Oryctolagus cuniculus: one gene and its partners. Each later gene encodes a partner of the first gene's protein in a complex. Links are inferred from orthologs where the notes say so. Each region holds a gene or a part of one and is shown in the gene's direction. Other genes may lie near its edges. The genes, in order: GIPC1, PLXND1 and MYO6.

Region 1 (4,259 bases):
TTCTTTCCTTTTCAGATGGAGAAACTGAGGCCCCAGGAAACAAAGTGAGCTCAGCCCCGCAGCCACGCAGCTGGTAAGTGGCAGCGGTGGGATTTGAACCCACGGCCCGGGAGGCAGCTAATGAGTCCCCCCCACACTCCCATCTCCTCACCACCATTACTCTCCTGGCACTAGTGAGGACCCGGAAGCTGGCCCACAGCAAGGTGGCTGCCGGCTATGGGTGGAGAAAGGACGGATCAGCACTCGAGGAAGACAGGGTCCTGGGCAGTGAGGCCTCGGGGGGCCTGATCAACTATTGTTGCAAATAATAGTCACTAGCACTCAATACAGCCTGCGCTGGGAGCTGGAATGTTCCAGGCTCCTGGGAGCTCAGAGAGGTTAAGACCCCTGCTCTGAGCCACACAGCCCCCTGCCTCCCATGAGTGCTGAGAGATGGCGAGAGTTGGGTTCTTGTTTGTTGTTTTAGCGTCATGAGCTTGGTGGGATAACTTGAGGGAGTAGGCTGCTTTGTCAAATACTCAGCGAGTGCCTACCATGTGCTAGACCACGATGACTGCTATGGGTAGGAAGGCTGGAGAACCGGTGAAAGGCTTGTATCCATCATATAAAGAGTTCTCCCAAATGAATAAGAAAAAAGCCACATGTTTAAATGCATTTACTCATCTTCTCTTTATTTAGAAGGGAGAGAGAGAGAGAGAAAGAGAGAGCAAGCTTTCATTCTTTGGTTTGCCTCCCAAATGCCTACAACAGTCAGGGCTGGGCCAGGCCAAAGCCAGGAGCCAGGAGCTCCATCCAGGTCTCCCCTGTGGGTGGCAGGGACCCAGCTCCTTGAGCCCTTGCCTGCTGCCCGCTCCCCCCCCACCCCCCCGGCGCACATTAGCAGGAAGCCAGGTCAGAGGCAGAGCTGGGAACTGACCCTGGCCCTTGGATGTGGGATGCGGGGGTCCTGAGCCGGGTCCTCACTGCTGAGCCGCCGCTCACAAAAAGGCCAAGGCAAGCAGTTGAAAGCTGCATAGACTGAAACAGGTGAGGGGGACGCTTTCCTTGTGTCTGACAACATAAGCACCTACTGTGCGCCAGGCTCCGCGCTGAGAGGTGAAGTGTGCAGAGACCACAGAGTGGAAGGGGACGGCCTGTGCTTTGCTGATGTGACAAGGCCGGGAGGCCACCGCCTGGTCTTCCCCGGAGCCGGGCACTGCAACCGGCTGGCTAGCCAGCACTGGGCCCACTCATTCGTCCACTCATGGACTCAGCCAGCGTCTACTGATGTCTGTTCTATGGATGGAGGGCTGAGAAGATGCCACGCCCCCTCAGAGGCGGGTGTGGGGGATGGGGTGGGAGGCAGAATCAGAGGGAGCAGCCTGTTCAAAGGCCCTGAGGCCTGACTGTGGCCCTCGTGGCTGGGCATGTGGGCAGCGGGTGGGTGGGGCTTCAGGGGGCCCTGTGGGCCAGCGGGGAGCCCCGGGACTCCCGCGACCTGCTCACGTCTTACAGGATCATTCTGGCTGCTGTCTCCTACGAGCCAGGGGAGTGAAGGCGGAAGCCAGGAGACCCTGAAGAGGCGACCGCGCTGGTCTCGGTGAGACAGACCAATGAATGAATGAGTGAATGAATGAATGAGCGGACGCATGCGTACACGAAGCAGCCCAAAGTCCCTTGGACACAGGGAACTAGAATCAGGCGGCTACTCGCCGGCCCCTCCCCTCAGGAAGGGGCGTGGCTGACCAAGCCTCTGCTTAGGGCACAGCACCCCGGTCATGAACTTGGCCCTGGGGGTGCACCTGCACTCTGGGCAGTAGCATTGGCGGCCCCAGTGCCTGGGCTCCTGCACACCCACGTGAGGGACCCAGATGGAGCTCCTGGCTCCGGGCTTCAGCCTGGCCCAGCCCCGGCTGCTGTCGGCATGCGGGGAGTGGACCAGCGGGTGGCCGATGTCTCTCTCTCTCTGCCTTTTACATAGAAATAACTCTACACAAGGGAATCGGCAAAATGAAATCTGACCTGAGCCCCAGTGTGGCCTCCAAAAAAGTTTTGTACCAAAATAAAGTTGAGCTTTTTTTTTTTTTTAAAGAAAAAGATGTATTTACTTAGTTGAAAGGCAGAGTGAGAAAGAGAGAGAGAGAGAGGTCTTCCACCTGCTGGTTCACTCCCCAAATGCCCACAAAAGCCAGGGATGGGCCAGCCCCACCTGTAGGCTGAACCCACAGATGGAAGACCTCTCTCTCTCTCTCTCTCTCTCTCTCCCCCTCTTCCCCTCTCCCCCCCCCCAGCCTCCCATCACTCTGCCTTTCAAACAGATACAGAAAGAAATAAAGCTCTTTTTTAAAAAAGAAAAAAAAAGACCAAACCCCAGCCCCTCCTCTGGGCAGGCTGCTGCCCACACCTCATCACACCAAGGAATGCGGCTTGGCAGGCAGAGCGTAGGCCGAACCCCAGTCCCACGTGACACCTGGCTTGTGCACGGTCAACAACCTGTGCGACAGTACATGCAGGCTATAGTCAGGGACCTTGCTTCTCATATTGAAGGTAACATTTTATTTATTTTTTAAGGATTTATTTATTTTTAATTTGAAATGGCAGAGTCAGAGAGAGAGAGAGAGAGAGAGAGAGAGGTTCTCCATCCACTGGTTTGCCCTCCAAATGACCGCAATGGCTATGGCTGGACCAGACCAAAGCCAGGAGCCAGGAGTGTCCTCTGGGTCTCCCATGCACGTGCAGGGGCCCAAGCACTTGGGCCATCCTCTACTGCTTTCCCAGGTCACAGCAGAGAGCTGGATCGGAAGTGGAGCAGCCGGGACACCAACTGGTGCCCCTATGGGATGCCGGCACTGCAGGCGGTGGCTTTACCTGCTGCACCACAGCGCCTGTGGCTGCCATATACCCTCTGCCGCCTGGCTGGAGGCGCCACTCAGGGCGCGGCCACCGTGTGGCACACGTGGTGGGGGAAGAGACACAGCCCTGGTGGTTCTCACTGCAGCCATTCGGGGCTTCCGCCCAGGGTGTGGTCCCTCGCCCGCCCTCCTGGCTCCTTGGCCAGAGCTTAGTCGCGCTATCAGCCATGAGCCTCCGTCTTCCCATCTGGTAAATGGGCACGGGGCTGACCTGGCCGGGAGCGCTGAGCCACGGACTCAGAGCACACTGAAAAAGTTTCAAAAAAGTAGTAAAACTCTGGCCGTCCTTGGTAGGTGCAAGGACTGTCATCGGGCGAACACCGCAGCCGTGGGTGCCCGCGGATACCGGGGGCTCTGGCCCTGACTCCCCTTCCCGCGCCCCGCGCAGGTCTCCCCGGGGCGGATCTCCCCTCGCTCATGCCGCTAGGACTGGGGCGGCGGAAAAAGGCGCCGCCTCTGGTGGAGAATGAGGAAGCTGAGCCGGGCCGCGGCGGGCTGGGCGTGGGCGAGCCGGGGCCCCTGGGCGGCGGCGGCGCGGGCGGACCTCAGCTGGGCCTGCCCCCGCCGCCACCGGCCCTGCGGCCCCGCCTCGTGTTCCACACCCAGCTGGCGCACGGCAGCCCCACGGGCCGCATCGAGGGCTTCACCAACGTCAAGGAACTCTATGGCAAGATCGCCGAGGCCTTCCGCCTGCCGGCCGCCGAGGTACGCACTGCTGGGCGCCGCAGCGGCAGGTGCACCTGCGCGCAGCCGGCACTGGAGGGCGGGGCCCCAGGGTTTTGTGGGAGATGAGGGCTGGGGCTTCGGGCTGCCTTCCCATCAGGCATTGCGAGGCCTGGGCCCAGTGGATTGTGGGGAGCCGCAGGCTCCATATGAATTCTGGCTTCCCATGGGGCACAGGGAGGCCTGGGCCCAGAGGCTTGTGGGAGGTGAGGGCTGCGGCTTGGGGCTGACTTCCTGTCAGGCATTGCGAGGCGCGGTCCCCGGTGGATTGTGGGGGCTGCCCGCCCCCCGGGCTGGAAGCTGAGTTCCCATAAGGCCTTGGGAGGGGGCCTTTGTCCTAGTGGGTTGTGGAGTGGTGGGGGAAGGGAGACATGATTCCAGCTGAATACTGAGTTCCAGTTGGCACTGGGAGACCTGGCCCCAGTGGATTGTGGGAAACGAGAGCGAGCCACGGCGGGAAGCTGACTTCCCATCAGGCATTGTGAGGCATGGGCCCCAGTTGATTGTGGGGTGTGGGGTCTGATGGCCCCCGGGCTGGAAACTGAGTTCCCATAAGGCCTTGGGAGGGGGCCTTTGTCCTAGTGGGTTATGGGGGGCAGGGAGAGGTGCTAATAGGCACAGCTGAATACTGAGCCCCCATCAGGC
Region 2 (4,823 bases), on another chromosome or scaffold:
GGAGGGCGGGGGCGACCAGGAACGAGAGGCGACAGAAAACCCGGGAGCCGGCCGGGCAAGGCTGGAGGAGCGGGGACGGGCGGAGGACGCCGCAGGGCTGCGGCGCCGGGCAGGGTGGGAGCCAATGTTCTGAGGCGGCCCCGGCCAGTCCTGCCTGGCTCCCCAGCCTGCTCCCGCGGGGGGCAGCGCCCTCCCCACGCCACAGAGACAGAGGCAGGGACTTCAGTCCTCTCGGGGAGTCCCCAGGTGGCCCTGAGCCCCCCTGACTCTGATACCCCCCTTTCCTGCTGCAGGACAACGCTGGCCATCGGAGCAGTACCAGGCCAGGGGACAGGGGTGGAACAGGCTGGCAGAGGACAGGAAGACCAGGGTGCTGGGCAGAGGAAGTGCGGGGTGGGAGTGGGGGTGGCTGCAAGCCCAGCCTTTCCTGCCTGCCCCATGGAGCACAGAGACACCCCCTGGCCTGCCTTCCTGGCGGGGCGGGGACAAGGCCACCCACCAGGCACCATGTGGCCCCTGGGGGTCTCACAGGAGACCCTGCTGGCAGACTCCATGGCTCTGCCCCTCACGAGCTGTCTCCGTCTCTCTCTGGGTCCTCAGTTTCTGTATCCGGGAGATGGGGTGACCATGGCACCAGGCTCCTGTGTGGACGAAGTGTTGGTCCAGGTGACCAGCACTGCGCAGTGCCTGGCACGAGGCCAGCCCTGCTAAGCACCCACGGTGCCCCAGCTGCTGTGGACGGCTCTCATTCCAGCCCTGCGACCCCAGAACCACTGCGGCCCGGTTCCCACCCAGCGCTCGCTCGCCCCCCAAGGTGAAGGAAGCCTGCCCCATGCCAGCTCACATGTGGCAAATCTTGCATAAGTCTAGGAGGACTGCAGTTTCAAATCCTTGCAGGATCCCTGACAAAAGTAAAGCGCTGGGCTCAGTGGGAGGGTGGCCGCCCACAGACCTGGATCTCCCCAGGAGGCAACTGTCCAGCAGGCCTAAGCCCTAGGCTTCCTCTCTTCACACACCCTCTCTGCTGGTTTGCAGGCACTGCTCTCCGTTCCCCGCTCCTTGTAAACTCCTTCCCTGGGCTTGGGTCTGGGGCATGGATCATGGGGTGTGGGCGGCCTGGCGAAGCCGGGGACAGAAAAACCGACTGGGGAGGGAAGAACGAGACAGGGTAGGGGTGGGGGCGGGGTCGACAGAAGTGGGAGGGCCAGGCAGACACCGAGAGAAGGGAGCGGAGACCGAGGGGAGCGAGGAGGCGCGACCCACACGGAGTTGAGGGGGACAGGACGGACAGAGACGCGGGGCGCGCAGCGGGGAAGAGGAGACCGCGCCCGAGAGCCTGGGGTACGCAGAGCCGCGGGGGCGGCGGCGGAGTCCCGCGGGGACACGGGGCAGCACGATCCCCCGACAGCCGCCGCAAGGCCGGCGGCGCGGGGCGGGGCGGGCGCCGGGGAGCCGGGGCGGGCGCCGGGGGCGGGGCCGCCGCGGAGCCGCCCCCGTCCCGCCCCCCGGGCTGTGCCGCGCGCGAGGCTGAGCCGGGCCGGGGCGCCGGGGCCGGGGGCGGCTGGCGCGGGCAGGAAGCGCCTCGCGGCCCGGGCCCGCCCCCCGCCTCCCGCCGCCTCCGGACTCCGGCTCCCGGCCGCGCCTCGCCCCATGCACTCGCCGCGCCGCGCAGCCCGCGCACGCCCGGATGGCTCGTCGCGCCGCGGGCGGCGCAGCCCCTAGCTCCCGGGCCGCCGCGGCCGGGCCCCCGCCGCTGCTGCCGCCGCCGCCGCCGCGCCGTCCGCTCCGGGGGGCCCCGCGGTGCCCGCTGCCGCTGCTCCTGCTGGTGCTGGGGGCTGCGCAGGTCGGCGCCCTGGAGATCCAGCGCCGCTTCCCCTCGCCCACGCCCACCAACAACTTCGCCCTGGACGGCGCGGCGGGCACCGTGTACCTGGCCGCCGTGAACCGCCTGTACCAGCTGTCGGGCGCCAACCTGAGCCTGGAGGCCGAGGCGGCCGTGGGCCCGGTGGCCGACAGCCCGCTGTGCCACGCCCCGCAGCTGCCACAGGCCTCGTGCGAGCACCCGCGGCGCCTCACCGACAACTACAACAAGATCCTGCAGCTGGACCCGGGCCAGGGCCTGGTGGTCGTGTGCGGCTCCATCTACCAGGGCTTCTGCCAGCTGCGGCGCCGGGGCAACATCTCGGCCGTGGCCGTGGCCTTCCCGCCCGCCGCGCCGCCCGCCGAGCCCGTGGCCGTGTTCCCCAGCATGCTCAACGTGGCCGCCAACCACGCGAACGCGTCCACCGTGGCGCTGGTGCTGCCGCCGGCCGCCGGCGCGGGGGGCAGCCGCCTGCTCGTGGGCGCCACGTACACCGGCTACGGCAGCGCCTTCTTCCCGCGCAACCGCAGCCTGGAGGACCACCGCTTCGAGAACACGCCAGAGATCTCCATCCGCTCGCTGGACGCGCGCGGCGACCTGGCCAAGCTCTTCACCTTCGACCTCAACCCCTCCGACGACAACATCCTCAAGATCAAGCAGGGCGCCAAGGAGCAGCACAAGCTGGGCTTCGTGAGCGCCTTCCTGCACCCGCCCGACCCGCCGCCCGGCGTGCCGTCCTACGCGTACCTGGCGCTCAACAGCGAGGCGCGTGCGGGCGACAAGGAGAGCCAGGCGCGGAGCCTGCTGGCGCGCATCTGCCTGCCCCGCGGCGCCGGCGGCGACGCCAAGAAGCTCACCGAATCCTACATCCAGCTGGGTTTGCAGTGCGCGGGGGGCGCGGGCCGCGGCGACCTCTACAGCCGCCTGGTGTCCGTCTTCCCCGCGCGGGAGCTGCTCTTCGCCGTGTTCGAGCGGCCCCAGGGGGCCCCGGCGGCCCGCGCCGCGCCGGCCGCGCTCTGCGCCTTCCGCTTCGCCGACGTGCGGGCCGCCATCCGCGCCGCGCGCACCGCCTGCTTCGTGGAGCCCGCGCCCGACGTGGTGGCCGTGCTGGACAGCGTGGTGCAGGGCACCGGGCCGGCCTGCGAGCGCAAGCGCAATATCCAGGTACGGGCCCGGTGGCGGGGCGCGGGGAGCGGGAGCCTGCGGGGCACCCGGCAAGCCGTGCGCCGCCAGCAGGTCGCAGGCGTGAGAGTGCCGGGAACCAGGTGTGCGCTCCAGGTCGCAGGTGCATGGACACGGATCCAGGTGCTCACGGGGGGACCCAGGTGTCCGCCCGGGGTGGGTGGGGTGGAGGAGAGGGTAACCGGGTGAGTGCTGGGTTATCGCGGGGCACTTATCCAGATGTGCTTGGAGGGGTCCAGGCTGCCACAGAGAACCAGAGGTTCACAGACAGCCAGATGTGCACATGGGGCTCACAGGTGCACGTGAGCATCTCTCTGGTCAAAGGTGTGAGTGCCTGGACCAGCTGTGTGAGTCCATCAGGGCTGCTGGTGCCGCCAGGTGACAGACGTGTGCCTGGGTGTGGCAGGTGTGCAGGGACCCTGCAGATTCGGGGGTGGTGGCAAAGCGCGAGTGACAAAGGTGTGTGCCCCAGATGTGTGTGCCAGTGGGCGGGGCCTGTGGGAGTATCGGCAGGCAGGTGCCTGTGGGGACACTGGCACAATGAGTACCTGAGCGGCAGGGGACACAGGTGTTTGGGAACCAGTAGGTCCTCGGGGAAGGCCACAGGGTTGGTAAAAACGTGAGGCCAGCTTTTGTGCCCTCATTCAACCGATACGGTGTACAGAGCATTAGTCCCAGCAAGCACCAGGTAGACAGCAGGCTGTGGAGTCCCCGCTAGGCGCATCGCCACAGGTCCTAACTCAGGAGTTCTTCCTGTTTACCATGAAGAAGCCAGCACAGGGAGGTTAGTAACTCGCTCAAGGTCACACAGCTGGGGACTAGCAGAGGTGGGCCGGGAATCTTGGCTTTGTAACCTCAGCATCTGCGTTCTTCATGCTGAGGCCCTGCTGCCATAGGACACAGAGCGGGTGTGTGTGCGTGCGTGTGTGTGTGGTGTAGACGCTGAGTGTGTGTGTGCGTGTGTATGCATGTGCGAGTGTGCGTGTGTATGCATGTGCGAGTGTGTGTGTGTGCATGTGTACGTGTGTGTGTGGTGTGGAGCGTGTGTGCTGCCCTTGGGGACATGACGCAGCAGTGCGGGAGGCCGGAGGGGATTCACGAAGGGCACCAGCAGGGCCCTGGGGCGGGGCTGCTCCCTCCCCTTGCCCACTTTGAGGGTCCCCCACCCCCCCTCCTGGTGACTGCCCAGCCCCTCTTGGGGCCCTGCGGTGGCTGTGACAAGAATCTCCTAAGATTAATGGTCGCCCTGTGGGCGTGCCCAGCGCTGGGCCGTTGAGAAAACACAGATTTCTTCTCGCAGACTCAGGCTCCCACGACTGCCCAGCGCCCAGCCGGCCGCCCTGCAGGTGAAGGCCCTGCAGGGTGAGCGGGCAGGGCCCCAGGGAGCCACGACACCGCCAGGGCTGGCTGCCCAGCTGCGGTCGGGACACCCACCGTTTCCTTCCCCAGGGCCGACTCTGGCTGTGTCTGTGGCACTGGGGTCTCAGGGCTGGAGGAGGGGAATGGGGACCCTGCTCTGCACCCTCCAGCCGGCCCAGCAGCTCCAGGCCTTGTGCCACGGCCCTGGTGCAAGCTGGTCTGTGGGTTTCCTCAGCCTCCCAGACTCCCCACCCCCTCTGGAAGAAATGTCCCTGTTCCCACGGTCCCTGGTCCCCAGCCTGGCCCCGTGTGGTGACTCACCCCGAGGGGGCGGGGCCTCTCTCCAGGGACACAGCGGTCAGGGCTCCCTCCTCACCCCAAGGCCGGGCAGATTCCCCCCTCCCTGTGTCCTCACATTTGG
Region 3 (4,836 bases), on another chromosome or scaffold:
AGAGCGCCAAATTGCGCATACAAATTGTCACAAGGGTGCTTAGAGAAAGCTGCTTTGAGGGGGGACAAATGGGCTTTGTTCTGAAGGATTAATTGGATTTATCCTTGTAACACTTCAGTTTGATAAACAGCATAGCTGTCTTTTCTGGGGCACACAAGCACTTCAGGAGGACTTGAAGGTAAAGCACAAAAAATGAGGGAAAGACACTGGGTAGAAATGAGATTGCACAGATAAGTAGGGCTAGGGTGGTGGTCCAAAACGGAAGTGATTCCTAAGACAGGCAAGTGACATTGTGTGAAGAAGCCTGGTTGGGACAGCTTTGTGGGGTTTAGGACAGTGGTGAACCGGGAACCAGCTGACCAATGAAAAGGCATTCAAATTCAGCTCACACAAAAAATCTCATAGTCTGTGAGTAGTGGTTAAATTAAATGGGATTTTATGAGACATTTTAAGGGGTCTGGACTTAGAATAAGGAGGGTGCAGTACTGCTCTATAGGAGTTTAAATAGAGGAGTAGATACGAAGAGTTTTATCAATGATGAACTAGTGGAGACTGAATTTAAAGGGGACGAGTTTGCAGTCTGGGAAACTGCTTATGTGCCAAGGGCAGTGTGCAAGTCTTGAAATGATGGCGGCCGGGAACACGATACTTGTAGTGGTTATGAAGAGGAATTGGATACATTAAAGAATTACAGAGCTAGAAGCAGAGGGACTCAGTTACAGATTATCCAATCTGTGGGGGGTGGGGAGGAAGAGATGTAAGTGATAAGCCACAGAAACTAGTCAAAATAAATTGGCTTCTATTAACTTCCCGAAGGCTTTTAATATTAAATCCAAAATTAATTCAAAGCGGTAAACTAAGTCTTCATTTTTTTTTCTTCTTTCCTTTTGAATCGACTGAAGACTTATCTTGTGGCAATCTGGAAATAAACTTCCGAGATTGCTATGAATTATTTCCTTGCTTGGTTTCGCTTCCTCTTTCTTACTTCTCCATCTTTTTCTCAATGTTTTATTATTTTGGTTGTATGCTACAATATCTCATCAGAACTTAGCCTTTCCACCCAGAGATCTGGGGGAACCTTTGACATCTGATGCTACGTGTTTCTCCTGTAAATTTCCGGAAGTTTCCCCGTTGCTACTTTTACATGTTGCGGAAAACAGTGTAGTGCTTACGTGTTAAGTATTTTAGTTTCAGCAGAAATATCTAGCATTACATTTATTTCATTTTCTTAACTGGAACTTCTTTTCGTCCTAAAAGCAACGTAGTAGCAGACTGCGTAGTTTCCTCGTATAAAACAAATTTGCATAGGTGCTTCATATTTATAAGAACAGTAAAATCTAAGTGACCGGGAAGACAGGGGCTCTTCAAAATAAAACACCCGGGATGGACACTCAGAGATTTCCATCTCAGCCCCCTCCTGCTAAGGCAGGAATGGCGAACTATTTGCGCAGGAAGGCTGATACCCACGCAGGGCAGCCCACCCGGACTATGGCCGAGATCGCCAGGGTCTCTCCTCGCGACCCCCTGGTGTCTCGGGGGTCCTCGCCCTGTCTCGGACGCACTTTCTCTCTCCTGGAGCTCACTGCGGTTTGCACGCTGCACATTCCCGCGATCCAGTCGGCAGCGACTGGAAACAATATCCGCTGCGTAGGCGCCGTTTCGCTTGGAGAGGAGCGAAGGCGCCCAGCTTGGCCAGCTGCACCCCTCCCACGCCGAGCAGCACCCACCCACGCCGCGGCCTCCACGCCGGCTGGCAGGACAGCCCCACTCCGCTCGGGAGCGCGCCCCGCGCCCGCGCACCCCGTCGGCCCGCCCCGGCCCTTGGCGCCCCCGCCCCCTCGGGCGCTCCGTAGCCGTGACGTGTGCGCGGCGGGGCCGGGGACTCTGTGGGGCGCCGGCCGGCGGGCGGAGACCGACCCGGGATCTGTCCGAGCAGGAAGCAAGCAGTAGCCTGGCCGCCGCCGCCGCCGCAGCCCCGTCCTGGTGCAGTCCGCGTCGTCGTTCTTCCCGATCCCCTCGGCACCCCTAACCCCGCCCTCCGGCTTCACCGGCGACAGGTAGCCCCGCCGCCGCGCACCTGCCTTCGCTGCAGCACCGGTGAGTGTCCGCGCCCGGGACACTGTGGGGCGGCCGCGCCAGGACGCTTTTTTCCTGGCTCGGCCTTGCTTCGAGGCCTTCTCTGACCGCCCTGGGGCTGAAGACTCGGCTCACCTCTGAGGAACGCGGTTGGGACCAACAGGTGATGGGTGGGCCGGGGCGGTGGCGGCTCACCGTCCTGCCAGGGTGGTTCTCATTTCCAGACAGACAATGAGAGTCTCCTTTCATGGGCTTGTCATCACCAAGGTACCTTTGTGTTTCTTCCCTGGCTCCAAGGTAGAAGCATAGCACTCAGGTGTCCAACTCTGCCTTGCACACTGCGCGATAGTTTTTTTTTTTTTTTTCTCTTTTGTAAACTCGCTTAAGATTCAGGGCAGGAAGAGTACAGTTCGTTCTGAGATGTGAAATGATACCATTAATAGTTTAATCATGTTGAAGACCAAGTTGGGACTTAGTATTTTTGCTGTCTGGGAGGTCCAGTACCTTGAGTATGTTAATTTACAGATATGTTACCGGAAAGATCACTTTTTTCTGTTTGCAAAAACTTAATGAGGTGAAAAAGTTAAGACTCCAGGATCTCAATTTTAGTTAGGAAGCCGTTTGATAGGGTTATTGCTAGAACATCCTTGTCTGAAATATTGCCATAGTTTTCAGAAAGCTTGGTTCGTTTTATTTGGCGTAAAGTATGTGGTGGAAGGATGCTTAAAACCTAATCTACAGATATTAGTGAAGAAGTAGGAACACTTCTCCAATTTAATAGACTGTTGTACGTGCTAAATAAAAGTGATTTGCTGTTATGCTCTGCTGGTATGGATTTATTATATCTAAGTATAGTCAGACTTTGAGAGTTTGAAAAATTAATATGCTTTAAAGCTTACTTGAAACTATCTTCACACCATAAAATGTGAATCTTGGACTGGTAGTGGTCATGGTACAAAGGTTGACGGCAAAGCAGCATTTCTGTACAAATTAACTGCACTTCATAGATCTCTTGGGTTGTGTATTTCCAATTGGGAAATATTCAGTGAAAAAAATTACCTCCATGCCTTTTATCATTAATTTTAGAAACTGCTACAAATGTTACAAAGTGGGCTTTAGCCAGAGCTTCAAACAATGCAGTCGTTCAAAATAGCTCATTGACTTTTAAATAATTCAGCTCATTTGAGTATTTTCAGTTAAGCAGGAATTGCATCCACAGTGGTAAACAGGGGTCATTTTAGTCTTATGCAGATTTGCCCATTGCATTGTATTTTCTATGTGACATGATACTGCTCTCACAGCTCTTTAAGTTACATTTTTGTTTTCAAAAACTAATGGTAAAAGGTAGTAACAGAAAGAAAAGATGATCATGCTTAAACATTTTTGTAATGAGCAATTATAATATTTAATGTAAATAATATGAGGTAGTAAAAACAAAGATCTTAAATCATAGCCCATGGGCTGATGTGAAATGTACTTTTTCCCTGTTTATATTTACGTAATCAAGTTTTAAAATAACAGTGGCCAGGAAATCTGAGAGAGGCTGAAGGCTCTTTTCTCATCCTGTTGTGACTTTGCCTGGAGTCTGTGGTGTATCATGTAGCCCATTGTTTAGACAACTGGGCTTTATCTGGGTCTGAAAATGCAGCTTTCTTCAGAAAGTTTTAAAGATTTTGACTGTGAGATTTGAATTCATATAAGCACCAAATATGTTTTAAAAATAAGGACTTATTTGACTTTCTGTTGATAATTGAAGCTCCACCTTTGATCATGTAGGTCAATTTGAAAATTTTTTTACCCTTTCTGAAATGTTAACTTATATATGTTAAAATAATTAGAAAAGAGATTTGTAAAAGTATTACAGCTTTAAGTAATCTCATACACTTTAATTATGGTCCCCATAATGAGATACTTTATAACCATTTGTGAATTGGCCTTTTAGTGTATAAGAGCATCACCCATGTAGTAGGGATCTGCAGTAATTAGAACCCAGACTGAGGGGCTTGATCTACAAAATAGATTTCAGAGGGTGGTGGTCTGGTCTTTTTAAGGAGAAGTGCATTGAGGCTCAGAGAATTAAATACTTACTCAAAGGTATGTAGCTCCAGAGGGGCAAAGTCTGGGCTCACACCTTGAGTCTGCTAACTTTGAAGTCCCTATCCTTCCTGCCTGAATAGGTTGCCTTGCTTCCATTTCATATGGGCTTTTCATCTAACTCTACAGAACTGCTGCTGTGTTCAAGATGTAGAAGACCGGATCCTGAAATAGATGCCGTAGATGCTCTATACCGAGAATGTAGTTCTGGAACCAACTGAGAATTCTGTGTCTGTCTGCATTCTCAAGTGGACAGTCTTGAATGATGCTGCTTTATCATTTCTGGTGTAGTTCCAGAGTCTTAAACAAATTTGTGTACCTCTTATTTTGATGGGTTTAGAGGAACAAGAGTTAGACTATAACACTGGCCATGTTTTAAATATTAGATAATTAACTACTGTAATCTTAAGGGAAAAGAACTTGTTTGGAGAGTATGTTGAAATTGTCATCTACAGTGTTATATTATTTCATGTAATATATATATTACAAGTCCATCTACAGCATTATATTATTTCATGAATATATATTACAGTGTCATCTACAGTGTTATATTATTTCATGAATATCCCTTGAACCTTAATAGACACAAAGGACAAAAATGAGCACATAAAGTTCTTTTGTAACAAATTAGAAGTCATACATTTCAGCAGTAGAATGTAGTTGGGT

The links.
Region 2: the proteins of GIPC1 (region 1) and PLXND1 are in contact, whole or in part, in a crystal structure (PDB 5V6T), measured with the Mus musculus proteins. The link is inferred for Oryctolagus cuniculus from reciprocal best matches to the Homo sapiens genes GIPC1 and PLXND1. Residues at the interface, in NP_061241.1 of Mus musculus: His61, Glu141, Ala142, Leu143, Gly144, Leu145, Thr146, Ile147, Thr148, Asp149, Asn150, Gly151, Phe156, Lys158, Arg159, Arg190, His191, Tyr192, Glu193, Ala195, Arg196, Leu198, Lys199; in NP_080652.2 of Mus musculus: Glu1400, Met1889, Glu1893, Arg1899, Gln1902, Gln1904, His1905, Glu1908, Ile1918, Tyr1919, Cys1921, Tyr1922, Ser1923, Glu1924, Ala1925.
Region 3: the proteins of GIPC1 (region 1) and MYO6 are in contact, whole or in part, in a crystal structure (PDB 5V6E), measured with the Mus musculus proteins. The link is inferred for Oryctolagus cuniculus from reciprocal best matches to the Homo sapiens genes GIPC1 and MYO6. Residues at the interface, in NP_061241.1 of Mus musculus: Glu273, Ser274, Tyr275, Met276, Gly277, Ile278, Arg279, Asp280, Glu282, Leu283, Thr286, Asp310, Phe311, Ala312, Pro314, Glu316; in NP_001034635.2 of Mus musculus: Ser1055, Lys1056, Trp1057, Lys1058, Tyr1059, Ala1060, Arg1084, Arg1085, Leu1086, Val1088, Tyr1089, Trp1092, Lys1093, Asn1096.

What each region holds. Positions count from the first base shown.
Region 1 is NC_091447.1:63,120,775-63,125,033, reverse strand, and holds part of GIPC1 (PDZ domain-containing protein GIPC1), read left to right. Parts: intron 1-15; 5' UTR 16-73; intron 74-1,494; 5' UTR 1,495-1,579; intron 1,580-3,279; 5' UTR 3,280-3,308; coding exon 3,309-3,596; intron 3,597-4,259. UniProt on the Homo sapiens protein: May be involved in G protein-linked signaling.
Region 2 is NC_091441.1:114,290,868-114,295,690, forward strand, and holds the start of PLXND1 (plexin-D1), read left to right. Parts: upstream 1-1,557; 5' UTR 1,558-1,687; coding exon 1,688-3,025; intron 3,026-4,823. UniProt on the Homo sapiens protein: Cell surface receptor for SEMA4A and for class 3 semaphorins, such as SEMA3A, SEMA3C and SEMA3E. Plays an important role in cell-cell signaling, and in regulating the migration of a wide spectrum of cell types.
Region 3 is NC_091436.1:96,688,820-96,693,655, reverse strand, and holds the start of MYO6 (unconventional myosin-VI), read left to right. Parts: upstream 1-1,860; 5' UTR 1,861-2,097; intron 2,098-2,216; exon of another isoform or gene 2,217-2,239; intron 2,240-4,836. UniProt on the Homo sapiens protein: Myosins are actin-based motor molecules with ATPase activity. Unconventional myosins serve in intracellular movements. Myosin 6 is a reverse-direction motor protein that moves towards the minus-end of actin filaments.